4 linked regions of the Elephas maximus indicus genome follow. The protein of the gene in region 2 interacts with the protein of the main gene of each other region in a biochemical or structural test. Links are inferred from orthologs where the notes say so. Each region holds a gene or a part of one and is shown on either strand. Other genes may lie near its edges. The genes, in order: CD46, JAG1, NOTCH1 and NOTCH2.

What was found.
Region 1: the proteins of JAG1 (region 2) and CD46 form a complex in vitro, tested with the Homo sapiens proteins (2 studies listed by IntAct, with this or other methods). The link is inferred for Elephas maximus indicus from reciprocal best matches to the Homo sapiens genes JAG1 and CD46.
Region 3: the proteins of JAG1 (region 2) and NOTCH1 form a complex in vitro, tested with the Homo sapiens proteins (3 studies listed by BioGRID and IntAct, with this or other methods). The link is inferred for Elephas maximus indicus from reciprocal best matches to the Homo sapiens genes JAG1 and NOTCH1.
Region 4: the proteins of JAG1 (region 2) and NOTCH2 form a complex in vitro, tested with the Homo sapiens proteins (2 studies listed by BioGRID). The link is inferred for Elephas maximus indicus from reciprocal best matches to the Homo sapiens genes JAG1 and NOTCH2.

What each region holds. Positions count from the first base shown.
Region 1 is NC_064836.1:17,662,268-17,669,934, forward strand, and holds the start of CD46 (membrane cofactor protein), read left to right. Parts: upstream 1-4,649; 5' UTR 4,650-4,785; coding exon 4,786-4,909; intron 4,910-7,667. UniProt on the Homo sapiens protein: Acts as a cofactor for complement factor I, a serine protease which protects autologous cells against complement-mediated injury by cleaving C3b and C4b deposited on host tissue.
Region 2 is NC_064843.1:49,503,950-49,511,488, forward strand, and holds the start of JAG1 (protein jagged-1), read right to left. Parts: upstream 3,013-7,539; 5' UTR 2,524-3,012; coding exon 2,443-2,523; intron 2,006-2,442; coding exon 1,700-2,005; intron 1-1,699. UniProt on the Homo sapiens protein: Ligand for multiple Notch receptors and involved in the mediation of Notch signaling. May be involved in cell-fate decisions during hematopoiesis. Seems to be involved in early and late stages of mammalian cardiovascular development.
Region 3 is NC_064827.1:3,026,907-3,034,046, reverse strand, and holds the start of NOTCH1 (neurogenic locus notch homolog protein 1), read left to right. Parts: upstream 1-4,136; 5' UTR 4,137-4,337; coding exon 4,338-4,401; intron 4,402-6,069; coding exon 6,070-6,154; intron 6,155-7,140. UniProt on the Homo sapiens protein: Functions as a receptor for membrane-bound ligands Jagged-1 (JAG1), Jagged-2 (JAG2) and Delta-1 (DLL1) to regulate cell-fate determination.
Region 4 is NC_064821.1:159,337,400-159,344,389, reverse strand, and holds the start of NOTCH2 (neurogenic locus notch homolog protein 2), read left to right. Parts: upstream 1-3,985; 5' UTR 3,986-4,306; coding exon 4,307-4,379; intron 4,380-6,990. UniProt on the Homo sapiens protein: Functions as a receptor for membrane-bound ligands Jagged-1 (JAG1), Jagged-2 (JAG2) and Delta-1 (DLL1) to regulate cell-fate determination.

The sequences.
Region 1 (7,667 bases), on a different chromosome or scaffold from region 2:
AATGGTGAATCTGTGAAACATTTCATAACATGGAGGAACCTGGAAGGCATTATGCTGAGTGAAACTAGTCAGAGGCAAAAGACAAATATTGTATAAGAGCACTGTTATAAGATCTTGAGAAATAGTTTAAACTAAGAACACATTCTTTTGTGGTTACGAGAGGGGGGAGGGAGGGAGGGTAGGAGAGAGTTATTTACTGATTAGATAGAAGATAAGAAGTACTTTAGGTGAAGGGAAGGACAACACTCAATACAGGGAAAGTCAGCTCAACTGGACTAGACCAAAAGCAAAGGAGTTCCCTGAATAAACTGAATGCTTGGAAGGTCAGTGGAGCAAGGGTGGGGGTTTGGGGACCATGGCTTCAGGGGACATCTAAGTCAACTGGCAAAATAAATTCTATTAAGAAAACATTCTGCATCCCACTTTGAAGTGTGGTGTCTGGGGTCTTAAATGCTAACAAGTGGCCATCTAAGATGCATCAATTAGTCTCAACCCACCTGGATCAAAAGAGAATGAAGAACACCAAGGTCACAAGGTAATTATCAGCCCAAGAGGCAGAAAGGGCCACATGAACTAGAGACTTATGTCATCCTGGGACCAGAAGAACTGGATGGTGCCCGGCCGCAACAGATGACTGCCCTGACAGGGAGCACAACAGAGAACCCCTGAGGGAGCAGGAGATCAGTGGGATGCAGACCCCAAATTCTCATAAAAAGATCAGACTTATTGGTCTGATTAAGGCTAGAAGAATACCAGTGGTCATGGTCCCCAAACCTTCTGTTGGCCCAGGACAGGAACCGTTGCCAAAGACAATTCATCAGACATGGATTGGATTGGACAATGGTTTGGAGAGAGATGCTGATGAGGAGTGAGCTATTTGTATCAGGTGGACACTTGTGACTATGTTGGCATCTCCTGTCTAAAGGGAAGATGGGAGGGTACAGGGGGTTAGAAACTGGCAAAAACGGTCACAAAAGGAGAGACTGGAAGGAGGGAGCGGGCTGACTCATTGGGGGGAGAGTAAGTGGGAGTATATAGTAAGGTGTATATAAGTTTATATGTGACAGACTGACTTGATTTGTAAACTTTCACTTAAAGCACAATAAAAATTATTTTTAAAAATTAGTGTAAGAAATCAAATGTGAAAGTCTTCAATTACCTGAAAAATGGCTTGATGAACTCGAAGCATAGAAAATTTCATTGTCTGAAAGGTTCCTGTAAGATAATATTCTTGAATCTAATTTAGTACCTGAAACTAGGAAACCGAACACTAGCCATTTTTTTTCCTCCTATCTTTTTAATTTTCTCAAGTGAAAAAACTCCTACTTCTAAGCTTCAAAACAGATAGGACTTTTTCTTAAAATTGTACTTCAGATGAAGGTTCACAGAACAAACTAGCTTCTCATTAAACAATTAGTCCACATATTGTTTAGTTACATTGGTTGTCAACACCATGACATGTCAACATTTCTCCCCTCCTCGACCTTGGGTTCCCTATTACTGGCTTTCCTGTCCCCTCCTGCCTTCTAGTCCTTGCCCCTGGGCTGGTGTACCCCTTTAGTCTCCTTTTATTTTGTGGGCCTATCTAATCTTTGGCTGAAGGGTGAACTTCAGGAGTGACTTCAGTACTGAGCTAAAAGGGTGTCTGGGGGCCACACTCTCTGGGTTTCCGCGGTCTTTGCTAGACCAGTAAGTCTGGTCTTTTTTTTTGTGTGTGTGTGTGAGTTAGAATTTTGTTCAACATTTTTCTCCATCTCTGTCTGGGACCCTCCACTGTGATCCCTGTTAGAGCAGTGGGTGGTGGTAGGCAGGCACCATCTAGTAGTGCTAGACTCAGTCTGGTAGAGGCTGTAGTATTTGTGATCCATTAGTCATCTGGGCTAATCTTTCACCTGAGTCTTTGGTTTCCTTCATTCTCCCTTGCTCCAGATGGGGTGAGACCAGCAGAGCCAGATGGGACATTTTTAGTATTTATTGTTGCAGAGAATAATAAACAGATTTTCTGCTTTCACAAATAAGTGCAATATTGAGTCACAGAATGTTTCTGTCATATCACTTTCACAACTGTAAGCATTAACAGAAATGACATTTCCCCATCATTAAGTTTCCTATTCACTGTTTCCTTATTTTAAGTTTACTTCCTTTAAGTATCATCATGGAACGTCAGCATTTTAAAATCCAAGATAGTAAGGTGTTTACTTTGCATACCACCTCTACACTAAGTGTTTTCTATGCTTTGTCAAGAATTCACAAAATTTTCACAGGAAAAGGAAATTCTATGGGTTGGTGAACCCAGAAAATCTTCAGTGCATCTCAGATACAGAGTTATGTTAAATATATATAAACTGTAGTAATTACAGAAGGACCATTCGAGCTTCCTAGAGGGCCTTCATTTCCTCACCATCCTCTCATACCTTATCCCTGTGTAACACAGGTTCCATCCTCATCATTCTGTTAACAAAATATCACTGGGTACATGGGTTAGAGTTTTAAAACTAACCTTTGACCAAATGTAACATAGGATCAATGCGGAAAACTTATAAAACTGAAAGCACAAAGAAAACAAAATATCCATAAGCCTATCAACTACTGTTAATTTTGGTATGTTTCCAACTAGTCTCCTTTTAAGCACATTAATATGGTGCTTTTGTTTTAATAAAATGAACGTCATGATGTACATACTGATATATCAGAGTGATCTTTTACAACACTTGCTACATAGGATTTCATCACATAAAAGTACCTACCATAAATTCTTCAATGGTCTTACTAGACCCTCAGCACTTACATTTTTTCCAAAATTACAAATCTTTGCTCACAGCGCTGATGTTTTGGGATAAGCTAAGTGCTACAGCTGCTAACCAAAGGGTCGGCAGTTCGAATCCGCCAGACTCTCCTTGGAAACTCTATGGGGCGCTTCTACTCTGTCCTATAGGGTCACTATGAGTTGGAATTGACTCGACGGCACTAGGTAAGTGAGACTGTGGTTTAAAAGTCATGTCCATTTTAAGACCTTTAACGTACTGCTAACCTGACCTCCAAAGTTTTGTTTTTCCACTAAAAGTTAGGGAGTGATGCCCCTCCTTGCCCAACACTGGCTGATGTTTTTATACTCTTTTGACCGCTTTTAAAATACCAGTCAGGTTACTTTTATTTATTTACGTTGTCACACAGGCTTACTCGCAGCTCTACTGATAAATCTTACTCATTCTTAATTTTTAGGGGTTGTTGGAGAGATTCTCTCACCAGAAAAGTTCTCCTCCTGATCCACTCCATTTAACCCATCCCATCTCCTAAGGCATTCATTGCTTCTAGGAATTTGGCACTTAAAACACCCTGTCTTTACATTTTTTATGAGTGTACATTTCACCTTCAATAAAACATTCAGCTGCTCAAGAGCAAGAGCTACACAGAATTGAGGTGCAATATGCTAATCGTCCTGTTTCTAAACAATTCACCTTCCCATGGGGTCTCTGAAGGAAGTCCAGGAAGAGCAATTTCCACTCAGGGTTGGGAGTGCAGTGGCCAAACCCTCTTTGTGATTTTGAAAACCAGCAGGTGTTGAGAGGGTTTAGCAGAAGGCACTTCTTAAGCAAGTACGATCCTTAATCATGCCTGATTCATGCCAAATATTGGGTAAAGACGCAAGTAGTCCAGACCACCCGGAGTGCCCCAGGACAATGGGGCTCTGAGGGGTGCTGGTTCCACAGTGTCATGGATTGAATTATGTCCCCTCAAAAACGTGTATATCGACTTGGTTAGGGCCATGATTCCCAGTATTGTGTGATTATTCTCCATTTTGTGATTGTAATTTTATGTTAGAGAGGATTAGGGTGGGATTGTAACACCCTTACCAGGTCACATCCCTGAGCCAATGTAAAGGGAGTTTTCATGGGGTGTGGCCTGCACCACCTTTTATCTCTCAAGAGGTGAAAAGAAAGGGAAGCAAGCAGAGTTGGGGACCTCATACCACCAAAAAAGCAGCACGGAGAGCACAGGGCATCCCTTGGACCTGAGGTTCCCCCTGCTAAGAAGCTCCCAGAGAAGACCCATGACAAGGACCTTCCTCTGGAGCCCAGAGAGAGAGGAATCCTTCCCCAGTAGCCAGCGCCCTGAATTCGGACATGTAGCCTACTGGACTGTGAGAGAATAAACTTCTCTGTTAAAGTCATCCACTTGTGGTATTTCTGTTATAGCAGCACTAGATGACTGAGATACACAGTGACCCACTTCCTGCACCCTTGGTGTCCATTTTTAGCCCAGTGCCTTTTATTCTTCAATGCCCAGTTCCCAGTAAAGGAACAAGTTTCCCGTCCGCCCTTCCTGGGCAGGGCGGTAACCCGGTTCACCCAGCTGTAACGCTGAAGAGCGGATGTAGCAAGAGCAGTCACGCCCCATTCCAGGGGAGCTGGCGGCCACTTTCAAAACCCCTTGGGTTAGTCAGGCCACACCCATCTATTCCGGCCCCTTAGGCGGCCGCCTTCTGCCTGCAAGCCTGGGCACCGAGGCCCCGCCTTCCAGCGCGCCGATTGGCCCCGCCCTCCAGCGCGCCGATTGGCCCCGCCCTCCAGGGCGCCGATTGGCCCCGCCTTCCAGGGCGCCGATTGGCCTCACCTGGCTCCTGTACTACAAGTCACTTCCGCCCGGGGCGTGGTCCGGGCCACGCCCACCTGCTGTTGGGTACTTGTTACTTCGTGAGGCTGAGGATTGTTGCGTCTGATAGCCAGGCTCTGGGGGGTTTCTCTGCCCCGAAGGCTCTCGGGTTTCCGCCGGATCACCGGGAAAATGACAGTGTCTGCCGCGCCGCCCACGGCCCCTGCTTGCCGCCGCGAGAGTCCCTTTACTTCCTGGTGCTCCTTGGGAGCGGTTTTGATGTCTGTAGTGTTCCACCTGCTAATTAAACACACCGGTAAGACCCCGGCGAGGGTGCGCGCGCAGTCCGGAAGGCTGCTGGGCGGGCGAGGAGGCCCGCGCTCGGCTGACCTGGGTCGTGTATCTTATGGTGTAGGGCATGGCAAGGTTCGCCGGGGTCGCGCTGCGCCGGGATTTGGGGGGACCATGAGTTGCATGGCTTGGTTGCAGTACGGAACTGGGCGGTGCGGAGGTGGTGGCCGCCGCAGGTGTTTTTACAGCGGCTGTGCCGTGTTTACGGTGATTTAAATGAACCTTTCTTAGCTGTGGAAACCCTGGTTGCCTAGTGGTTAGGTGCTACGGTTGCTAACCAAAAGGTCCGCAGTTCGAATCCACCGGGCGCTCCTTGGAAACTCTGTGGGGCAGTTCTGCTCTGTCCTGTAGGGTCGCTATGAGTCGGAATCGACTGGACAGCAGTGGGTTTGGTTTTGGGGGGTTTCCTTAGCTGTGCTGTGAGTGCTGGCGGAGAGGCACAGCCGCCGTTGGCTGGAGCCGTGCTGTGCCGCCAGCAAGGGCCAGGGCGGTGTTTCTGGGACTGAGGCTCACCCGGAAGGGGAGCAGATGGCGTGCTTCGGTGAGGGCTTGGTATGAGGTGACTTGGGGTCTCGAGTGTTGCCAAGGTCTCTGCAGTATCCGCGTTGAAGGCTGGGGTGGCGGAGCCCAGGTACGCTTTTGGCGCAGAGTGTACTTTGCGGACGTTGAGGGGGCCCTACTTGGCGGTACCGAGTGTGGAGCCAGGAAACGCTCGTTTTGCTTTGTATGAATGAGTTCGAGCTGTGGGGTTGGGGAGGGTACATTGTGCTTGTTGTGCTTGCGGTCGGAGCAGGCACTAGATGCCAAGGTTTAGGGGGATGGAAAGGGAACTTAGCTTTTTAAACCTTCTGGAAACAGGCTCCTTGCCGGTGACCGTGTTGGTCCACGGCAGAGGAGCGCTCTTCTTTGGCAGATTGCTGCTTGCTCTTCCCCCACCCCCCCGCCCCGAGCCATCTTTCTGCTCCTAAAAAAAAAAAAACCCAATATAAAAAAAAAAAAATTTTTTTTTAAAGCAGTTTCTAATTCTATTACCTAACGGCTTTTGGGCATTGTTTTCCTTCTTTTCATTAGATTGTGCCATATTTGAGGGCATATTTGCAAGCCGTGGTACCTTGGTAGCCAAACCTAGTAAGAAATTAGTGTCCTAAGAAAGAAATGTTAATGTGGCCCCTACAGTTCATAAACTAAAGCAGAGGGTCTATCCCACTAAGCTTGTTTCATATTTTATTGAATGGGATAAGTACTTAAAAAATGGTAAAAAAAAAAAAAAATACGTGTGTGTGTGTTTCTATCGTATGCAACTTGCACAAAGGTCAGCTATTTTTTAATATTTTGGTGTGTTCCTTCTAGTCTGTGCACCTGTGTCTCTATGCCCAGGTTATCTTTAGGATCCGGTTACATGTAGAAGTCTGTAGTAGTGCAAACGGTTAACTGCTCTAGGCTGCTAACTGAAAGGTTGGAGGTTCAAGGTACCGCTCCACTCTCTCCACCCTTATTTGTTTTGTCCACTGTTATAGCCCCAGTGCCAGGCACATAGTGGGCAATCACTAAATATTAGTAGAATTTAAAGGGTGATAGACATTATCCGGAGCCCTGGTAGCGCAGCAGCTGAGAGCTACGGCTGCAAACCAAAAGGTCGGCAGTTTGAATCCACGAGGCACTCCGTGGAAACCCTGTGGGGCAGTTCTGCTCTGTCCTGTAGGGTCACTGTAGGGTCGCTATGAGTCAGAATCAGCTGGATGGCAACGGGTGTGGTTTTTTTTTTTTTGGTAGATATTATCCATAACATCATGCTAACGAATATATTATAAACTAAAAGAAATGCTATGGAAGAAAGGAGCACGATTCTCTATTGCATTTAACAAATGACTGGAAGCAGATTTTCTCCTCAGCACATGGGCCAAGCTCTGCAGCTTTAGGGTGTCTGCACTTGCTGTTCCCTGTGCCTTGGCACACTCTCCCGCCTCTCCAAATAATTAGCTCCTTCTTATCCTGCCAGCTAGCAGGGGTGTTCCCCCTTCAGAGAGGCCTTTTCTGACCACCCTCTCTGAGGTAGACAGACATTCGTCTACCTGCTAACTTTTGATCATCCTGCCAAAACTATCTTTTATGTTCTCTGTCTCTCCCCACAAGATAGACATCTTGTCTTGTCAGACTTAAGGTGCTAAAGGCCCAAATTTTGGTGCAAATAGTTAAGTGCATGACTGCTAACCAAAAGGTTAGTGGTTCAAACCCATGCAGAGGCACCTCGGAAGAAAGGCCTGGCAATCCGCTTCCAAAAGGTTACAGCCTTGAAAACCCTATGGGGCACAGTTCTACTCTGCACACATATGAGGTCACCATGAGGTGGGGTCATCTCCATGGCAACTGGTTTGGTTTTTTTGATTTGTAGCTGTTAAGTACCAGCAAATATATTTGACAGGGGCTTAGAGCCCAGGAAGAAGTTAATTCTTCCTGCTCTCCAGGAGGAAAGTTCTTTAAAGAGCCATGTTTAGGATGGCCTTTCTGTGGTGTGTAAGTAGTACGGCAGGGGCGGCTTAGGGTCAGAAAGTATCTGTCTTCCCTGTTTACGTAGACTTTCCAGAGCTCACAGAACTTCAGTCTCCCTTCTCACTGATCATTAAAAAGTTCATTTTGGTTGGGGGTTCCTTTTCTTCACCATTAAAAAGCAGTGGTGATGAGAAGAAAACAAGGAATTTTTTGAAAAAAAGAATAGTATTTAG
Region 2 (7,539 bases):
CAGGCTCCCTGTTTTCACGCAAGCCATCCTCTGACCCTTCCCTCCGAAATGAACCTCAGCCAGGCCTGCTGCTTTTCTACATCATTAATAAGATTCCTTTTATGGTCTTGTGAAAAGCCAGGGGCTCTGGACTGATCCTCTTGCTCGTGGAACCACCTGCAGGGCCCCTTCGCCCTGAACTCCAAACACACATTCAAGGGCAGTCAGTATTCCCATTGCACGTGGGCCCAGACAGATTTAAAACTGGCCGACCTCCTTAGCTTAAAAGTTCTCCCTAATAGGGGATTAACAAACAAGATAAACACTCTTTGTAAAAGTTAAATCCCACAACTGAAGCAGCCCCCCCTCCCAATCTCAGACAACTCCACACACCACAGGCCTTTATAAGCCCCTTTCTCGTTTAATGGACTATTTTTGATTACTGTCTTATCTCACACACAGCAGAGGACATGACAATGCCAACAACTACAAATGTGGGCCTTCTGGAACCACCCCAAGTTTCGGCAGACCTAGCCAGACACTTTCCTCTCCCTCCAGGAGCTGAGAATCACAGCCTGAGCCCACAGGTAGGAGGCAGCAGAGGGCACCCACCCCATCAGAGCACGTGGCGAGAGCATTCCTCTACGGCTGAGCCCCCTCCCCCCGCCCCAGGCCGTGCTGGGCTGAGCCCCAGTTCTGGCAATGAGTCACACCTCCTGGACAGCAGGAGCTGGGCAGAGGGCACCCCCAACATTTCCCTTTCCTCCCTTTCTGCAATCGCACCCATCTTCCTTCCACCCATTTCGGGATGTTGCAAGGGCTTTGTTGAGGGGTAGTCCAGCTGGGCCCAGGCCTCAAGCAGCTCTGGGGGTGGAGGAGGGGGATGAGGGGGATGAGGGTCTGTGCACTCGAGCCCGTCAGCAGTGCCTCCAGTGAGCCACCCCTTCCCAACCCTTGGCACGCCCCCGAAGGCCTGCGGGGGCGTACGCCCGCCCGACAAGGGCGCACCCCGCCCTTCCCGGGGAAGTTTGCAAACACAGCTGTTCCAGAGCCCAGGAACCACTGGAAGTGAGGCCAAAAGGGCTGCACCGCGCGCGGGCAGGAAGGGGCCGGCAGGGGGCGGGGGCTCCCGAACCGACAGCCCCCGCAAGGGCCCCGAGACTCCCCTGCGGCAGCCGCCCGACCCGGGAGCTCGCCCCTGCACGCACCAGAAACTCCCGGGGAGAAGCGGGAAACGGGCTCCCCCCAGACCCTCCAGGAAGGACACACCCGCCCTCCAGGCGGCTCACGGAAAAGGAGAGGGTGCCAATTTGGACAGTTTTTTTTTTTTTTTTTTTGGAAGGCCAGAGCTGCTCGCAGTCTCCTTCCACCGCGCACCAGCTTTAATTGGTTAAGCAAAGAGACCACCTATAACGACCTCCTAGCTCACGGTTTACTCCGGGGCCTTCAAGTTGCAAGTTTAAGCCGGTCTTACGGGGCGTTTTGCTGCGCAACCCTGTCTGAGGTCTGCACTTTTTGCGCGCTTAGCAAAGAGCTGCGGGGAACGGGCCCGCCTGGTCCGGTCCTGCGGAGGTCTAACTACAGAGCCTCGGCTCCCTAATTCTCCACTCCCCATAGACCTCCCCAGTTAACGCCGGGTTTCCAACCAAGGCCCTTTAAATGCTCCTCACAGGAGAAAGCAGGGCTCGGTCGGGCCTCCCTCCCTGCGTCCGTCACTCACCGGCCAGGCGAAACTGAAAGGCAGCACGATGCGATTGCGGTCGTTGCCGCGACTGGCCTTTAGGTTGAAGGTGTTGCCCCCGATGACAGGCGTGGATCCCGACCCGAAGCTGCAGGGCCCCCCGGCAGTGACGCGGGACTGGTATTCCTTGAGGCACACTTTGAAGTACGTGTCACATTCGTCGCGGGTGCACTTGCGGTCCCCCGGGCTTCGGGCGCCGCCGCAGCAGTTCCCGTTCTGCAGCTCCCCGTTCACGTTCTGCATGGACAGGATTTCCAACTCGAACTGGCCGGAGGCCCCGCACACCTGCCGGCGAGGGAGGGAGGGAGGTCAGCGCGGGGAAAAGTTGTTTTCTTCCAGGGTGGAGCTGGCGACTCCCTCCCCGCCCGCCCCGACGAGCCCTGGACGCCAAGTGAAAGTAATTCTGCAAAACGGAGTTCAAGGGCTCAACGTGATTCCGGGGCATAAAACGCACGAGTGCGGAAAAAATCCGACGACTAAGTGCGCGGGGCCAGAGCAGGACGGACATGTCCCTAGCCCGGCCTGGAGGGGCCACGCTTAGGAGACCCCGAGCGCCCGAAGCGGGAGCAGGCACGCCCAACCCAGCCCAGGTGCGGCCGCTGGGGCACAGGGGTCGGGCCCGCGAGCCGGGCGCCCGAGGGCCGGGAGGCGGCCGCCCCGCTCCACCGCGGGCGTCCAGGGTGCCGCGAGGAAAGGGAGAGGGAGGCCCGGCGGGCTCCTACCTGGGCTCGCAGGGCACAGAGCAGAGCGAGCAGGAGGCTCAGGGGGCGCCCAGGCCGGCCGCGCGTCCGTGGGGACCGCATCGCTGCGCCGCGCGCCGCGGGCACTCGGGACGCCGCCGCCGCTGCTCGCGCTGGTGTTCCCGCCGGTGCTGCCGTCGCCGCTGCCCCTGCGGCCGCCGCGCTCCGGCTCTGATATACTCCGCCGATTGGAGCATGCACGACTGGAAAACAACACCACTTTTCAAAAGCCCTTTCAAGAGCGGCGGGTTCCAGAAGGCAAAGAGCCCGGCCTCCTTTTATTATTCTGATCGCTTCTTTGAGGCGCTCCCCCTCCTCTTCCACCTCCCGGCTTTCTTTCCCTCTCTCGCGTTCCCCTTCTTTTATTATTATGATTATGCGCAGCCTTTTATTCCCTTTCAGATTAGCTGCTTGGAAAGGGGGGAGGGAATGAAGAAAAAAAAAAAAAAAACCCAGCCCAGCTCGCGGGCCGGCGGCAGGTAACACAATGACGCGCGCCCGCCCGGCTCTCAGAGAAGGACCCGGAGAGCCCGTCTGGGCGCCGCGACCCGGGCTGGCCACCTCTACCCAGCGCGCCGGGTAGGGCGCATGCGCGCTTATTAATATTCATAAGGGGGCGGGCCCACTCAGGAAACGCCCCTCCCCTCCCCTGGTCATGGAGAGGAGGGGCCCGGGATGGGGGAGCGCGGGGAGGAACTTGGAAATGGCTGAGGGAGGCGCGGGGCTGTGTAGACGTCGGGGGTCCCCGCGCAGACCCTCGTGCTCTGGAGTTGGGGGCCAGGCGTGACTGAGGAGGTGCGGCCGGGGAGGGAGCACGGAGAGAACCTCGGAATGGGCTGGTGGCCCCGGGCCGCACGGGGTCAGGTGGCCACCCCGCTGGCACCCCGAGCCGGGCGCCGCCGCCCGCCCGTCGGGGCCCCAGGTGTAGGCGCCGCAGTGCTGCCGAAGCGGTCGGAGCGGGGCCGCTTCCGACCCGCCTGCGTCAGCTGCGGCTTTTGCCCCAGGAGGATGGCCTGCCCGCCGGGAGCCCGGCCCGCTTCCCGCGAGCGAACGAGCCGCCCGGCGCGGTCTGTTGGCGGCAGGGATGGCGGCGGCGGCGGCGAGGCTGGCCCGCTTGCCGCCGTCTGCTCGCCTCGCGGAGGCGACCTGGGCCGGCGCTGCTGGGAACTTTGCAAAACCTTCCCGGAGCCAGGCTCGCCCGCAGATTCGAGGGGAGGCCTCGGGCCGCCCCACCCCACCCCACGCCCTCTCCAGCCGAGTCTGCGAAGCCTCGGAGGGCTCCCGGCTTCCTTTCCAAACCGCGCAGGGGCAGAGCGCGGGGAAAGCGGGCGGAGAGGGCGGCGGCCCGCCGGGGCCCTGCCGGGGCTTTGGGAGAAGCAGGCAGGGAGTCGGGGGGCTTGCCCGCACTCCCAGCGCCGGCCCGGGGCCGACCCTCTCCGGGCCGCAGTGCCGGGACTGCACCTGTAGGCGGCCTCCGAGCAGCTCTCTGGGTGGCTAGACGCTGGTCGTCTCGTCGCCTCGCCCAGCAGTAGGACTTGCCTTCTCTATGGTGGCAAGGGATATCGATGCTATTTTCCACCTTTGGGCGAGCCTCACAATTAACAGCGACACTCCCAGTCTTAACTAAGGTCAAAGGAAGCCAGCGGCCTGGCGGAAGCTTCGCCCAGCCCTTCCCCCAGAGGGCTTGCTGCTGGGTCTGAGGGGACCAATTTAGGGAAAGACAGGCCTCCATTTAAGAGTGGACAATGTTTTGGCCCTTATTTTGGGTATGTCCTGCGAGAAATCATGACTCTTAGGGGTTCAAGCCCTCCCGGCTGTGGGGCCATGCTGGGCTGCAATAGGCCGTGAAAAAAGTAGTTCCCAACATGCTGAGTTAAGAGAGCATAAAAGTGTGGCTATTACCTCCTTTCTGCCTTTGGTGGAAGGCTTAATATAGAAAATGTTTTTAGTGCCGGACCTCATCATGCTGAGGAATAAAGTATGGCAACTAACTGACCTCTTTAAGTCAGTTCAAAGCCACCGAGGATGGTTTAGAGCTCTTGGTATTTTAACATCCCAAGAAATACTCCTAAGAAAGATGCCTTCTTAACAATGGTAATCTGTGCCATCCTGATGGCCGTCAATGAGAGAATTCTACTTTGGAAGGGGAACATCCAAGAGCAGAATTAATTTACAGTAATTTTGACAGCTGGCATAGGCTGCCTAGTTGTTAGGTGCCATGGAGTCAATTCGGAGTCATAGCGACCCTATGTACAACAGAAGGAAACGCTGCCCAGTCCTGTGCCATCCTCACAATTGTTGCTATGCTTGAGCCCATCGTTACAGCCACTGTGTCATTCCGTCTCATGAGGCTTCCTCTTTTTTGCTGCCCCTCTGCCAAGCCTGGTGTCCTCCTCCAGGTACCGGTCCTTCCTAATAATATGTCCAGAGTACCATCCTAACTTCTAAGGAGCATTCTGACTGCACTTCTTCCAAGCAGATTTTTTCATTCTTCTGGTAGTCCGTGGCATAGTCAGTATTCTTCACCGGCACCGTAATTCAAATGCATCTTTTTTTTTTTTTTGCGTTAATTCTCAGGTCTTATTCATTGTCCAGCTTTTTGAATGCATATGAGGTGATTGAAAATACTTGGGTCAGGTGCATGTTAGCCCTCAAAGTGAATCTTTGCTTTTCAACACTTGAAAGAGGTCTTTTGCAGCAAATTTGCCAAATGCAATATGTCATTTGATTTCTTGACAGCTGCTTCCATGGACATTGATTGTGGATCCAAGTAAAATGAAATCCTTGACAAATTACACTGCCTTAGGCTGAGCCTTTCTCTTAGTGTGCCCCAGCAACCCCTCCCCCCTAATTAATCTAATTGCTAGGCATCTGGTTGTCAACTATAATTCCTTCTAGACTTTTCTCACCTGTTTCCATATAAGCCAATCTCCCCATCTCCTTTCCACCTCCTCTCCATCTCCACCCTCCTAGTCTCCCTGAGTTGGGGTGCTAAGTGAAAGTTAAAAAAAAACATAATTCATGAACACTGTTGTGGTCTTAAAATACACACTCCTCTGAGCTCCCCATATCTAAACTTGTGTTAATTCTCTATTCCCTGTAGTCTGTGCTTTAGAACCTCCTTAGGAAGGAGGTTATAGAGCCAGGCTATTAGCTGAAGAGTTTAGATCCAGACACCTGGTTTAACCATGGAGAGCTACCTGAGATTACAGGTGCCTCCAGGTAGCAATCTGGGCTGTATAGAAGCCAGAGTTGGTTCTAGTCCATTAGTATGTTTAGCCCCTTTAAGTGGTAATAAGAAACAATGTGGATTTCCTAGGAGTTGAAACTACCTGCTTAGTGCTATCAGGGATGTCAAATCACTAAAATTCTCGTGCCAAATAGCACTGTGTCCCCCAACCTTCCTCGGCTTGGGAAGTCACCCTTCCAGAAGATAGTTGTGGGCTAGAGGGGATTCTTTTGAAAAATTTCAGCTGGGGCACTTGGTACTCCCCCAAAAAGCCAGTCTTGTTCCCTGCAACAGACTCAGAGTGGAAGCTCTATCCTGTGCTTCCTCACAGCTGATTCTCAGTCCTCTTCCCTGGAAGAGGGGGAACTACTGCTGAAAGAACTCAAACGTAGAGATGCCCCCTTGGCCTCCAAGTATATGTGAACATTCCAAAACATCATTCGTGTGAAAAAAGGCCTCATTTAGCCTTCACAACTATACCTGAGAGAGGAGACACTTGTAGTCTGAGACAGTCCTGTATTTCTCAAATCATACCTTCCTTTAATTTTAAAAAGACAATGCCTCATTTTTCTTGCCTCACCTTTGCTGGGTCATCAACAAACAGTAGTCCTGACCCCCAGAAAGACTCAGTAAGAGGCATTCAGGTGGCCTTAAACTGTATTTAAATACATTTCATTAAGGGCAGGAGTCCCTGGGTCGTACAAATGCTTAAGCACTCAACTACTAGCCAAAAGTTTGGTGGTTCAAACCTACCCAGAGGTACCTTGGAAGACAGGCCTGGAGATCTGCTTCCGAAGCGTCACAGCCTTGAAAACCCTATGAAGCTGTTCTACCCTGCACACATGGGTTACCATGAGTCCAACTTGACTCCACAGTAAACTAACAACAGTAGTTAACGGAAAGCACTAGTTAACACTGTGATAGAAATCACTCCCTCCCGAGTCAGTAGTTATTAATACTGTTACACACAGCAGTATGGATGATCTCAAAAACACCATGCTGAGTGAAAGAAGCCAGACACAAAAGAATACATTCTGTAAGAATTCATGTATGAAGTTCTGGAACAGGCAAAACTAATCTATGGTGAAAAAAATATAAGACTGATTGCTTGGAGAGGGGTGGGGTGGTGATTGACTGGGAAGGGACTTGTGACCTCTTCTAGGTTGGGTCATGTCTTATATATCTTGAAAGGCGTTTGGATTACATGGGTGTGCACATTTACCAATATTCATTAAATAGTACTCTTAAGACTCGTGCACTTCATTATAAGTTCAAAAGAAAAGGAAAAAAAAATGTAAACAAATATTCAACTCCAGCTAATTATATGACTACCGCAGCATTTAAAAGGAAGTGAAATGATATGTGTAACTTACTTTGAAATGAATAAAAAGAGGAATTGGTTGATGGACAGAAGGTAGCCAAATGGATAGATACACGCTACAACAGGAATCCCGTCCCGTTGCCATCCGGTTGGTTCCCACTCGTGGCAACCTTGTGTGTGACAGCAGCACTGTGTGTCATGGAGTTTTCAGCGGCTGATTTTATAGAAGGAGATACCAGGGCTTCCTTCCAAGGTGCCTCTGGGTGGACTTGAACCTCCAACTTTTCTGTTAGAAGCAGAGTGCTTGACTATTTCCTCCACCCAGAGAATCCAAAACAAAAAGTGAGGAATTAATGATAGAATCTAGCTGATGGGTACACAGGTTTTAACTAACATTCTTTAAATTTCTATATGTTAGGAAAATTTTATTATAAAATGTTGGGGAAAATAGTTATTGAAGACCTATATGTGCCAGGTATTGTGTACAGTGCCAAGAATAGGGTGGACAATGTCAAAATATTGAAATTAA
Region 3 (7,140 bases), on a different chromosome or scaffold from region 2:
CCTCAGCAAGAAATGTTTGTGAGACCTGGAGGCAAGAGAAGGGGTTGTGGAGCCTGAGGGGCTCCCCCATCAGGGCCTGGCAAATATGTCCCAGGGCGGGATCTAGTACCTGCAAGCAGGCTGGCCAGGTGCGGGCAGCTGGGTGCACTCTTGGGCCTGGGGGAGAGGGGCTCTGTGATGGGGTGGGGGCAGGGAAGCAAACACTAGAGATCAGCCAGCCCCTTTCCACTCTCAGGCAGGGCTTCCAACAGGTTGCGAACAGTTCTGTAACTGCCAGATCCCGAAAATTTCAGGAGCCTAATGCGGGAGGCTGGATTATTGGCAGGACTGCGGAGAGTGACACACATTCCAAGGAGCGCAGCCAGCCGCCATCTTTGAACAGGGCATCGCTGTTCGTTTCCTCCTGGGTCAAAGTCTGACGGGTCAAAGTCTGGTGGGTCAAAGTCTGACTGGTCAAAGTCTGACGGGCAACAGATTTGGTTGTCTTGCAATGTATACGCTGCCCTCATTTACGTCTGCAGTTACAGAATCATTCCTGACCTGGTCCCAATAAAAAAAAAAAAAATTATTTTATTTATTTTTTTTTATTATAGGAGGGGTGAAATCCTCCGAAGTTGACCGGCCACTTTTGAAATGGAAAAAGGCTTTAGGATCACTCGTTCGATGGGCACTGAGGCCCAGGGTGAGTGATAGCCCGTGGACGGCCAGCAGGGCAGTGGTAGGCCGGAATTTGGAGTCCAGTGCTTGGCTCAGAGCTGACGGACAGGTCTGGTGTAGGCCTGACTGTGGGGTGCAGCACTAGGCAGGAGAACCCCTGGAGCTGGCCACTTCTCAGGCCCCAGGGCTGGAGCTTGGCAAGCAGGTCAGAGATTTTACAGTGAACTTCGAAGGGTGGAGAGGCCTCACCCCTAGGCATTCCGGATCTTCCCACAACTCCCCAGTGGCACCCACCACTCAGATGAGACACATCACTCACCACGAGCCATGCCATACCATGCCACGCCCACAGTCAGTCCATCCTCCAAACTTTGGCCTCCTGACCACCACCCCAGCCTCCTCTTGGCCTGAAGACTCCAAGCCACCCTCCCCACACCAAGCTTCCTTTCCCTGCACCTCTTCCAGGCTGCCGCCCCCATATCATGGGCATGAGCTTGAGGGTGGGGTTCAGGGCAAGGTCCCCAGCACTGCCGCGTACACAGACAGCCCACCGCTTTCTGGGCCCATCTGCCGGGCGCCTGCAGAAGACCAATGCTGGGCCTGCTGCCCCCTAGCCAGTCTCCTAACAGCATCTCTGAACCCCAACTCCCTCACCTGTAAAATGGGGAGTGTCGTGCCCCCCAGGCCTGCAGGGGTCATGGAGGGCACCTGGAACTTCAGGGGAAACTGCTCTCCTGTGATCTCAGATTCCCCTCTGAAGCCTTACCCGCCCTGAGCTGTCTGCACATGCTGAAGGTCATACCGGGTGGCCAGGGTCTCTGTGCCTCACAGAACCGGGGCTGAGTACACAGCAGGCACCGCCTGAGTGTCTGTGGGCTGACTGCTACAAAGAAGGGCCCAGACGCTGGGGCCAGACAGACACCTCTATGTTAACATAGGACCCATCTGTCCTGAAAAGTAGTGGCCATGGCCCTGCAGGCTGGAGCTGGGAGGGCTTCCTTTGGGGGACAGGAATGGGCCAATGTCAGTAGGCCTCCCCAGCCCCTCCCATGAGGATACCCCAATAATGCTGGCACCTGGAGAAGAAGGTGGCCACTGGGCACCCCTGCCCCCCTCTGCAAGCTACCCCTCCAGTCTCCCCCAGACTGGTCCCAGGTTCCCTGGCCAGCTTGGGTGCAGCCCAGGGGTACCCACAACAAGCTGCATCATAGTTGGAGCCCCCATTCAGCTTCTCCAGGTCCCTCCCACACTCTACTGCTGGGATCCCAGGTGCCCCACATACACCCCCCATCATTTCTCCATAGCTCCCCCAAGGCCCACTTCCCAGGGTTACCCCCAGGCTGCTTGCCCCCACTGGAGAAGGTCACAGAAGTCCTAGCCTCACTCTTGCTTGGTCAGGAGCCCCATTCTCCCTGGCCAGGCCAAAGTGGGTAAAAGACAGGAAGGTCAGAAATATTCAGCCTAATTTGTGAATAAAAAAGCTTCTCACCTACTTGCCAGGAGTCAGGCCCACCCGTTCGTTCTCAGGCCTCAGGGGAGGGGAGGTCCCTACCCGGCCCACACCCTCAGCCTCTGCACCTCCAGCTACATTTGGCTTTCCTGGGGTCCCCTTGCTCCTGGCCATTTGTAGGGACCCCAGGTGGTGGAGACCTTAGGCAGCCCAGCTGGGAGGCCAGCTGCACGGTCTGTGGCTCAGTTGCTGTCTGTAAGGTGGGTAATGAGAGGGCCCACTTCCTGCATGGTCGGACCATGGGCATCCAGTGGGCCACAATCTTCCCACTGATGGAGGACAGAGGCTCAGAGTGGACAGGCTATCCTTACAGCTGGACCCAGACCCCCAGACCCCATGCTGTGCTCCCCGTCTCCTCCCCTGGCCTTCCAGCCTGCTCCTGGGTGGATGGGTGTGCAGTGGCTCCCAGAACAGAGCTGGACGGGCCTTCACTTGTGGCCCAGGGAAATTGGTGAGGTCAGATAGAAGGCACAGAGGCAGTGGCACCCTGAGGGGCCAGGCCTGAGGCCCTGAGTCGGGCCAGAGGCAGAGGGGCCTGGGGGTGAGATGCCCCCGGAGTCCCAGGTCTGTAAATGGGGTGGGGACTGCACCCCTCTCTTCCTTTTAGGGGAAAGCCTGCTCCTCCAGGCTGCCGGCTGCTCTTACATAAACATATCCACTACTTGGAGGCGCCTCCTTGGGGCACTGACCTCGAGAAGTTACCCAAGGTTCCAAGGAGGGCCGCCAGCTTCTGGGAGGAGGCGCCCGGGGGCTTCCAGCAGCCAAGGGCCTCCAGCAGCCGAGGGGCTGGACTGGCAGGGTCTCCCTGCGGTGGCTGCGCAGCAACAGGTGGGCCAAGACAGGCAGGAAGCGGGCTTGGCCATGTGGGAGTCTGCCCACCTCCCTAAGCAGGGCTGCCTCCTTTCCTCCAGAAGCCTGGGGACCCCAGCAGTCCTGTGGGTGTTCCCATCCCCAACACCCTTCCCCACTAGGTCTCTCAGCCTTTACCCCTCAGCTGGCATCGCCTACTCCAGGACGCGCAGCTCGGTGGGTGCACCTCCTGCCCTTGGGCTCACTGCCCTGATGCAGGATGGGGTGCCTGTCCCTGGGGCTAGTCCGTCTACCTTTGGTGGACAGGGACTGTGGCAGTCATTCTGGGCGCCCAGCGCTTAGCCGGCTTGGCACAGGGCACCCTATTGGGGCATCGCGCAGAGAAACACATCGCCCAGGCAGAGCACGTGTAGGCCAGCCCGGAGGCCGCGCCAGGGCTGGCTCTCCAGGGCCCACGGGTGGTTGGCGCCAGGGGCAGGCAGTAATGAGGAGCGTCCACCGTGGGGCCCTCCGGGGGAGCCGCTGAGCGCCCCCCTCGCGAGACGGTGGCTGCGGGCCTCCCCTCGGGGTGCCCGACTCCATTCCCCAGAGGCTGAACCGTGGCGCCATGGTCCTCAGGGCCAAGCGCTGCGGCCGTCCCGGTGGGAGTCAGGCCTGGGCTCTCGGGCCGGAGCAGGGCCCTGGGAGTGGAGCCCCGCCCGGGCCGGGATCCCCAAGCTCGGCCTCGGCGGATCAGCCCAGCCTCCCGGCCCCTGCCCCGCCGGCACGGTTCCGGGGCCTCTCATTTCCCCACTCCGCCGCTCCTCCTCAGCCATTGAGATGCAAATTGTCCCCAATTGTCGCCGAGGCGGCAGCGGCCGAGACGGATCCTTCCGCAATGCGTCCCAAAGTTTTGGCCTCGGAAACTTCGAACCAACAAGTAGTGCCTGCCCTGGCCCACCCTCCCGAGCGCGGCCCCGGTCCCGAGCGCCTGGCCTGGCAGCGCGTTCCCACCGAGGGGCGCATCCCGGGGTGCACAGCCGAGGGGCGCAGCCGGCCGGGAATCGGGGTTCAGACGGATCGCGGATGGGGTGTGAGGGGCGGGGCTTCACGGTGGGGCGGGGCCGCCCGGCGGGGCGGGGCGGGGCCCGGCGGGGCGGAACACAAGGCGGCCCAGCGCCTCACTAGTGCCTCGGCCTGCGGGAGGGAGCGCAAGGCGCGGGGCGAGCGCTGGGTACCAATCGCAAGCGGAGCCGGTGCCGGAGCCCGCGAGAGCCAGCGCCGCCCGCCCGCCCCCGGGAAGCAGAGGGCGGAGCGGGACCCCCGGCGCGAGTGCGCCCAGCCAGCCGCCCAGCCAGCGGAGCGCCGCGGGGAAGCAGGCATGCCGCCGCTCCTGGCGCCGCTGCTCTGCCTGGTGCTGCTGCCGGCGTTCCCCGCTGCACGAGGTAGGCGCCGCCCCGCGAGCCCGCAACTTTCCGCGCCCCTCTCCAACTTTGGCGGCGCTGCGCGCGCGCCCCGGGGGCCTCGGGCGGGGCGAGGAGACCGGGAGTCCCGGGCCAGGACTGGGACACCCCCACCCCCAAGGCAGGGCGGACTCGCGCTGCCCGGCGCCGGGGCCGCATCAAGAGCTGGGCGCGGGGCGCCGGTCCCGGGGTCTGGGGCCCCGCCGCCAAGCTCGCCTTCCCCGGCCACGCGTGGGCTTGCCGCGTGGCGCGCGGACTGCCTACCACTTTTCGATTTGAATCTAGTGGGTTTTGGTTTCCTGTTGCTTCTCGGAGCCATTAGTCTTGTTTCTGCGCATTGGGCCCGCGCCGGGGGCGGATGTTGGGGCGCGGAGCGTGGGGTCCCGGCTCTGTGTTCCCCTTGGCCAGCCCTCGCGGCCGGGGCCGGCAAGGCGCCGTGGGAAGCGGGGTCCGGGCCGACCGGCCTCCTTGGCCTTCAGGAAGGTTCGCGCGGGCTGGCGCGTGGAGCGGCTCCGGTCCCCGACCCCCGCGGACTTCCCCTCCCCGGGCGGGATCGCCGGCCGCCAGCCCGGCTCACAGCCTTTCTTTGGGGGGGGGTGCGGATCCCGGATTACAGACTTTTTGGGGGAGTGCGGAAGACTCGCCTTGGTGGGACCGAGTTTCGCTTTGCTCCGCGGAGTTCAAGTTTGGCGATCTTGGGGGGGGTGGAGAGAGACGTGGGAGGGAGCGCGGTTCCTGGCCCGATTCCCATCCCGAGGGTCTCCGGGCAATCTGGTGATTAATTCCTGTCTTCCCAAAAAGTTGGTGGTGAGAATTTTTCCCCCTTTCAGAAAGTCGAGTCCCTGTCACAGCGCCCTCCCCCCGCCCCCCGACGGCTTCACTTGTCCGGCGGGTGAGAGGGAAGGGCGGGGCCTCGTTTATGGACCGGTTCTCGGGAAGGGGGTCGCATTCCTTCCCAGCGGGGCTCCCCACCCTCCCATGGGTGTGGTGGGGCTGCCCCTGGAGATGGCCCCGCGGGAGCAGGTATTGGGTGTCCGCAGGGGCGGGGCGGCCAGGACGCAGGAGGCGGCCGGCGCGACAATGGCCCGCTCTGATTCCGCGACGGCGCTCTGTTGGCGGGCGGGGCGGCGGGCCACGCAGCTGTCGCATTTTCCCACGAGCGGGGAGCCGAGTGTGGCGGCCCCGACCCTCCCGCCGCCACCACGTCCCGGCAGCGTGTTTAAACATCAAGACAGCCTCAGTGGCTGGGTGGGGGCCCTAGCCCCCAGCCCCGTGTGGCTCTCTGAAGAAAACTGGGGAGGTGGGGGTGTAAAGTTGGGAGAGTGGCGCCGGGAGACATCACTTTTCTCCGCTGCTGCCAGGGGGCATATCAGTCACTCCCCACTTTGAGCACTGCCTGTCCACCTGCCAGCCCACCCCGCCCCCATTTCTGACTGGAACTTTGAAGTCTTTCGGGGTTCATTCTGGGGCTTCCCGGTGCCCCCTGCCCCTGCAACCCCAGGACTCTGAGTGAAGGGCCCCCGAGGTGAGGTCTGATGGCGGCACTTAGTCCGGAGCTGGTGACAGAGGCTAGGTTTCTGTCCTCAGAGATGGGCCGTTCCAGAAGCCGAGGCTCTGCTGACCCTCTTGTCTCTCCCCCGGCCCCCCCAGGCCTGCGATGTTCCCAGACTGGTGAGGAGACCTGCTTGAATGGCGGGAAGTGTGAAGTGTTTGCCAATGGCACGGAGGCCTGTCTGTGAGTATGCGCGCCCCCACGGGGACCTGTTGCTTTATGGGAGCGGGAGTCCCTGCCTTCTGCGGCAGCCGGGGACAGAACACTAGGCCATTGTCTGGTGGAGATGGCCCAGAAGGCTGGGCACGTCACGTGCTGACTTTTATTGGACAAAGTCTGGCAATTACTTAATCACCCGCAATTAGGCTGCGCGTGAGCTGGCCAGGCCTCGGAGGGAGGGTCCTGGGCTCCCTCTTCGTGGCCACCTCGGCCTACTGGGCCCTAGGTGGGTATCCTGGCAGCCCATTTCTCCCTGAAGTCCCTGAGAAACGGCTGACCTGTCAAGGGGTCAGGACTTCCACTGCCACCTGGGGAGCATCTCTTCTGGGCAGGTTGAGCACCTGTGGGCAGGTGAGCCTCTCAGAAAGAAATTGACTGTTTCAAAACAAAACCTAACTCTCTAGGCCTGGGCCTTCCCCAGCCCATTGCGCCAAGGCCTCAGGGTGAAACTGGGGAGAGAAGCCTGAACCGGCCCCGCCCATCTCTATGGGTGGGGGTGTCTATCGGGAAGCCTGGTTTCTCTCTTGGCTCTGCAAACTCCCAGCCTCATGAGCGCCATCCACGGCCCTTGGCTTAGCTGGAGAGTGGGCACAGGGGGGCTGAGAGATCTGTTTGGAGTGCCAGTCTGCCTCGGGACGTTTTCACTGCTCCCCGATGTCCTTCAACTTGAGTTTGCCCCTGATGGGAATACTGAGGAGGCCCTGGGGAGCCGTCCACTCCGCCTCCCGGTCTGCCCCCGGCGCGCCCTCATTCCAACCGTTGATGGGCCCATTCCCCTGACAACCCGGCCCACTGCACCACCGGCTGGCCTGCCCACCAGCAGCCCCCGGGCCCCCGCCCACCAACTGAAGCCAATTACGAAGGTCTGTGAGCAGTTTAATGGACAGAGCGGAATGTTCCTTTGTCAGATGCTAATGAATGCATGCTACTTTTTTTTTTTTGCTTTTTGG
Region 4 (6,990 bases), on a different chromosome or scaffold from region 2:
ATTATTATTGCCAATTTATGTCTATGCCCAAACAAACAACCCATTGCCGTTGAGTTGATTCTGACTCATAGCGACCCTACAGGACAGAGTAGAACTGCCCCATAGGGTTTCCAAGGAGCGGCTGGTGAATTTGAACTGCCAACCTTTTGGTTAATAGCCGAGCTCTTAACCACTGGCCTCCTTCAAAACCTTTCAAAGCACCTCTTCAGTCAAAACCTTCTACTTCCATTTATAACGTTTACTCTTTATTCCTCTTGCCCTTGTGGGAACATATGTAATAAGTTTGACATTATAAATATCCAACATAAGTCATATGTGAAAATAATAGTTGCTTTCTTTAAAATAGTCACCTTGAGAAATTGCATACCTGTTTTAACAATGTTGTCATAGCCATGGCCATTTCAGGAGCTGCTCTTTGGAAATGACTACCTTCAAAGTACATTCTTCTGAATATATTTTAATAGTGACATATTCAATCTTTTTAGGTAATTATAAAAAATTGTGTATAGCCAAGTCATACAGCTATACTTAGGAAATAATGAGGATGGTCATGCTGGGAAATACTGATTTGGGTCAACAACTAAAAATTAATGTTATTATCTTTCTCTGAACACAAATGCACAAAAGAAATTCCAAAATTATTTTGACTACGTTATTTTTGAAAAGAGTTTCTAGCATCTCAAAAGTGACTACTTTTAATAATAGTACTTGATTATCTGTGATAAAGTGGTTATTAAAAAACAGTTTGGAATTTCATAGGCCTATTGCTCATACTGATTTGCACTTGTTCAGCATTGTTTTCCATTCTTAATTCAACATCCATTATGTGATAGACCCTGGGGATACAGAGATGAATAAAGCCTTGATCCTTGCCCATTTTGTTGTTGTTAGGTGCTGTCGAGTCAGTTCCAACTCATAGCGAACCTATGTACAACAGGACGGACCACTGCCCGGTCTTGCGTCATCCTCACAATCATTATGCTTGAGCCCATTGTTGCAGCCACTATCAATCCATCTCACTGAGGGCCATCCTCTTTTCTGCTGACCCTCTACTTTATCAAGCATGATGTCCTTCTCCAGGGACTCCTTGCCTGTAAAGACCTTCTAATCTGGTTGAGAAGACAGACACATAAGCAGTCCTGTGAGAAAAATAGATTTCGGCACAAGAGAAAACAGCAGTATAGAGGAGGCCCTGTCTGTGAGGGGTAGAAATTTGTTATAGTGTAGGCAAAGCCTGCTGGGGACTGAAGAATGGTGATGGTCAGTTCACCAAGTGGGGCAGGGACGGAGGCTCCAAGAGTCATTCTAAGCCAAGGGAACAGAAAACAGAGATTTAAACAGCAAGGTTCAGGCCTTGGGTGGTCTGTTTCTCTTTGCCATCTACTCTCATTTCCTTTTAATTTTCCAGAAGTTGCCTCTCCTAATTTTTTAATGTTAATGTGGTAAAATTTATATTACAAAGCCTTTGCCATTTTAACAATTTTTAAGTGTACAATTCAGTGACATTAATTACATTCATCATGTGCAATCATCACCACTATCCATTTCCAAAACTTTTCATTACACCAGAAAGAAACCATGCCCAAAAAGCTATCACTCCCCACTCCTCCCTCCACTGAGTCCCTGGTAACCATTCCTTTTTTCTCTACGTGTTTGCTTACTCTATATTTCATATAAGCGGGTTCATATATGTTCTTTTGTGCCTGACATTTCACTTAGTATAATGTTTTCAAGGTTCATTCATGTTTTAGCATGGATCGCAACTTCATTTCTTTTGTATGTACTGCATTTTGTTTATCCATTCATCTGTTCATGGACATTTGGGGAGTCTCAAGTTGTTCAATATATATTGTTGTTGTGTAAAGTTCAAGGGGCAGGGGGCAGGGATGAGAGGAGATGAGGCTGGAGACCAGGCAGGAGTACAACGACGGAAAGGCCTTTTTAAAAGTTTGGACTTTATCTTATAGGAACCAGGGAGAGGCTTTATGGATAGGATTTCCCATCCCAACTAGACTGTAAACTCCCACATTGAGTTAGTCCCATAAGTTTGCCCCCCTTCCCTTTATTTCATATTGCCTCAGATCTGGCAGAATCAACTCGACTGCAGTGGGTGTGTCAAATCCATCCTTTCTCTCCCATGGTGATTTCCACCTCATTAATTTAGGCCTTCATCACCCCATGCCTGGGTTTTTTTTTTGTTTGTTTGTTTTTTTTTTTTTAGTATTCTTCTAATTTTTTTAAATTAAGTTTTGTTGTGCTTCAAGTGAAAGTTTACAAATCAGGTTAGTCTCTCATACAAAAATTTACATACACCTTGCTATACACTCTGAATTGCTCTCTGTCTGATGAGATAGCACAGTCCTTCCCTCCACTCTCTCTCCTTGTGTCCATTTGGGCAGCTTCTGGCCCCCTGTGCCCTCTCATCTCCCCTCCAGACAGGAGATGCCAACATAGTATCATGTGTCCACTTGTTCCAAGAAGCTTGTTCTTCACCAGTCTCATTTTCCATCCCCTATTCCAGTCTAATCCCTGTCTGAAGAGTTGGTTTTGGGAATGGTTCCTGCCTTGGGGCAACAGAAGGTCTGGGGTCCATGGCCTCCGGGGTTCCTCCAGTCCCAGTCATGCCTGAATTTTTTCACAAACTCCTGAGTGGTCCTTGGGCTCGAGTTTACCTCTGTCTCCAAACAATCAATTTTGCACGGGATATCAGAGCAACCTTCCTTTCCATCAAGTCTCACCCTGTTCAAGAACTGTCAGTGGTTTTCTATGGCCCTGCATAATCTGGTCCCAACCTGCCCTTTCCTCCTTGACTCCCCGCACTACTAGCAATGCTGGAACTATCTACTTATTCCCTTGTCTGCGTCTTTGCTTTTAGGGTGGCTCTCCCCTGGAATGCTGCTCTCCCTGTACAACTTTTTGGTTAATTCCATATGAGTCAGAATTGACTCGACAGCAACAGATTTGGTTTTTTTTAGTCTTACATATGATGACCCAGGCCTGATCACACCCCCCACTCTTCTGCCCTGGAAGTGGCCACCATTCTGGTTAGATCCTTTTACTATATACATATGCATCCATAAACAATATATAGCAATGTTTTGAAAAAAGTTTACTTGTATATGAAGGGTATTATACTTTGTCACCTCTGCAATTAGTTTTTTCCACTATCATTTTGTTTTTAAGATTTATCCCTGTTGACATATATGAATACAGTCTTTCCAACTACTGTATTGTATTTCATTTTATAAATATAAATATGGTAATACATTATTCATCCATTCCTCTATTGGTGGGCCTTTAGTTTGTTTCCAATTTTTGGCTATTACAATGTTGCAATGAGTATTCTTAGCTTGTGTTCTTATACAAATTTTACTAACCTTTCAAGATCCTGCTCCCTTCCCACCTCCTCCATAAAACCCTTCCCTGGACCCTCCAGCCCACAGTAGTCTCTCTCCTCAGAACTCAGAGTAGCTTGTACATCACGAGCCTTTGCTATCATTCCATTGTGCCTAGCACACTGCTTCACAAAGTAAGGCGCTTAAAACATATTTGCTGAATGAATGAATAGTGCAACACAACTCAGTTGATGGTTCTGTTCATTTAAAATGGACTTTGGCGCCCTAGCCCCCATTTCCTTCTTTGACAGCACTGGTCCCTCTCTACCGCATCCCTTTAGCTAGCAGGGGGTGTATGGATGTGTGAGTGTGTGGGGGTGATACCTGTCTCACTGGATGAGGTCTGTCTCTCCCTGCAAGTTCACGGTCCAGGCAGCCTTAGTGTTTGAAGTTCAGAGTCCTAACGTCCACCCCCTTCAGAAGTGTGCGGCTCCAGCGTCGATTGAGTTAAGGCGCATCGGGACCCGGGTTGAGGGGAGATGGGTGTGTGGGGGGTGGGAGGGGGTCTAACAAGTCGTAGTAGATCCCTCCGCGTGGAGCTTTGACCGGCGCTTCTTCCTGCGGGAAACCCCTGGGTGCCGAAGGCGGCGGGCCGAGGCCCCGGCGACAGGGGGGCGGGGCTTTGCGGTGGGAGGAGGCGGCCGAGGCGGAAGGACACACGAGGTTGCTTCGCTGCACACCCGAGAAAGTTTCAGCCAAACTTCGGGCGGCGACTGAGGCGGCGGCCGGGGAGCGGCGACTTCGGGTGCAGGGAGTCGAGGCATTTAAGCCTGAGCTTCAGGGCGCCGCGCGAGGCTGTGAACCGCAGAAGCAGTAGGAGGGAAGGAGAAAGTGGGGGCTCCTGTGTAGGGACCCCCTCCCCATGTGGATCTGCCCAGGCGGCGGCGGCGGCGGAGGAGGCGACGGAGAAGATGCCTGCCCTGCGCCCCGCTCGGCTGTGGGCGCTGCTGGCGCTCTGGCTGTGCCGCACCGCCCCCGCGCATGGTGAGTATAGGGCTGGGGGGTGCTGTCCCCTGAGCCGGGGCCGCGCACCGCCGCCCCCGCCGCGGCCGGGGCCACCTGGGGCGACCCTTCCTCTCTACTCTTGTCCTCCCGCTGCGCGCAGGACAAGGCCGGGGCTTCGCCACCGGAGCGGAGTGGGGCCACTTGGTTCCCGAAAGTTTGGACATCATCGGGGGGCCCCCTTTCCAGGCGCCCTCTCCCCTGCGCTCTCCTCTGCCTCCTGCTCCCCTCGGCCCATTGCCCCACACACGCCTCCTCTGCCAGAGGGAGCCGGGCAGCAAAGTCTTAGAAATTCTCATTTTCCAGTCCTGAAGTTCGGGGAGTTGGGCAGTTTTGCCTTTTTGGTTCCGCGTTTGCTGAGGTCGGGGTAGAGGCGAGGCAGAGCCACCGAGGCGAACCCTCGCCCGCAGCGGACCACAGTTGGGCTAAGCCAAGGAATGCCAGATTCCGGCGTGGAGAGAGCGGGGGCAGGGCCGCCAAGCCCAACGGCTTGCACCTTCACAGTCAGACAGAGTTTTGCCAAAGGCAGGCACACAGTCTGGGTGGATGAGTGGGTTTTTGGGTGGGGACAGGATTTTGCAGTGCGCCGGAGTTTTGACACTCCAACCGGATGGTCCCGATGAGTCGGGTGTGTTTTGCTGGCGTCTTTGAAAGGTGGTGGCAGGAGCAGTAGAGAAACTGGTGTGGCCGCATGCTGAGCCACATGATTTAAAAATCTCAACTGCTGTTATTCTTTCCGAGGCGCGGAGCTCGGGCGCTGTTTCAGTCTGTGTCCAGCCCCAGGAATGTGGTGTGACGATCACCAACTCCGCCAACCTGGCAGCAACATTTTACTGTTCTTTTGCCTTGGGGTGGGGGGAGGGCGCAGGAGCGGGTGAGGAAAAGTGGATACGTTGATTCAAAATGCTTCCTTAGAAAGCCTCTTTATGGTTGGATATTTGCAGCAGCCTTTTCGAATACAGTTGGACCAAGGAAAGGAAATTGAATCATATTTTAATCATCCCACTGCACTCTGAGATTCTAAATTTCTTCAGGCTGTTCAGTGGAGAGTTTGGGCTTTGGAACCCTGCTCACTCTCTAATCCTGGGTTCAAATTTGGTTCTGCTGTATGAGCTCACCAGTAAGATGGAAATGAAATTACCCAGCTAAAAGGATTAATTAAGATAAGTAAATTAAACCCATGGTACTCAAAAGTTGTTCGGAGAGCACGTTCAGAGAATGGGCTGTGTTTTATTTTTTCTGTACTCCCTGTCGTCTCACTCCTTGTAGTAGGATGTGTGTTGGGTATGTTTATTGAATGGAAAGGGACCCCTCTTTCCTGAGTGTAATCTAAGAAAGATCTTACCTTTATTTGTATATGTATGTGTGTATATATATATACACACACGGATATATATGTGTGTACGTATATGTATACACACACACACATACACACAACACATGCACACATAAACAAAAACACCATGCTACATGAGCTTGGTCTCTTTCAAAGAAAAAGTTATGATGAGTTTCAGGAAAAGTTGGTCTTTGTTCATTGTCAGCAGGCAGTGGATGTTCCTGTCACAGATGCTTAAAAGAGAACAAGCTATTTATCACCTGAAAAACGTAGTACTGGGTTATTCAGCACCAGACACTTCTTGGAAGTTCAAGTTCCATACACCTCGAAGTCTCAGAGAATTTCAAAAGTGGACCAGGAGGTTGTGTGATGATGAACCATGATTGTAGTTTCTAAAGCATTTAATTAAAAAAAAAAAATATGATGGTATTTTTGTCTTTCCTTTTGTCCTTGAGTGAAAGGATTAGTGTAAGTGTAGATTTAGGATAGAGAGGAGTGGGAATAATGGGCTAGTCTGAGGGTTACATTCCTGGTCTACCATTAACTTGTTTTAGTAAGTAATCTTCACCTATGAAATGGGACCAAAGGAATAACCTACCTCTGAGATTTATAGGGAATAACAAATAGGACTGTAAAATGATTTGCAAAATTAAGTGTTAAGTTATAAGACTGATGTCAGGAATACAATGACCATGACACATAGGGCGTGTCTCATCTAGGGCCTCAGTGCCTTGAACTGTATCCTCCTTTATGCATTTGTACTGGGAATGTCTTGCTATTCTTAGCTTTTAGGTGGATAAATTGAGTGTTAGTCAAGTTAGCTCAAAGGACAAGATTTAGACATTTTGATTTTTAGACAGGTGTTTTTCAGGTGCTAAACTACTGCAATGGAAGAGGTTAAAGCTGGTTACTTAGTACAAAATCTTAAATCTCAGATTCTAACAGCGAAGGCTTCTTGGATCTTCTTAATCTGTTGTCATTGTGTTTTATCAAGGTACCAATTATAACACACCCTTCCAACCTTTTGAGGGTTCCTGAATTTGGCTTGTAGCCAATTGTTAATTTAAACATCACTGAGTTCTTAACCCAAGGAGCTGTCAACCCATCTGTCTGATTGTCTAAACAATTATCCAGGACCACCAGTTGCTCCTTGTTTTCTTCTGCTTTGCAATGGGAAGTGACTGCCTGGCTTAGCTGCCTGCTGGATAATTTCTCAGCTGAATTCTTACTTTTTAAAAAAAGTTACAAAGAGCAACT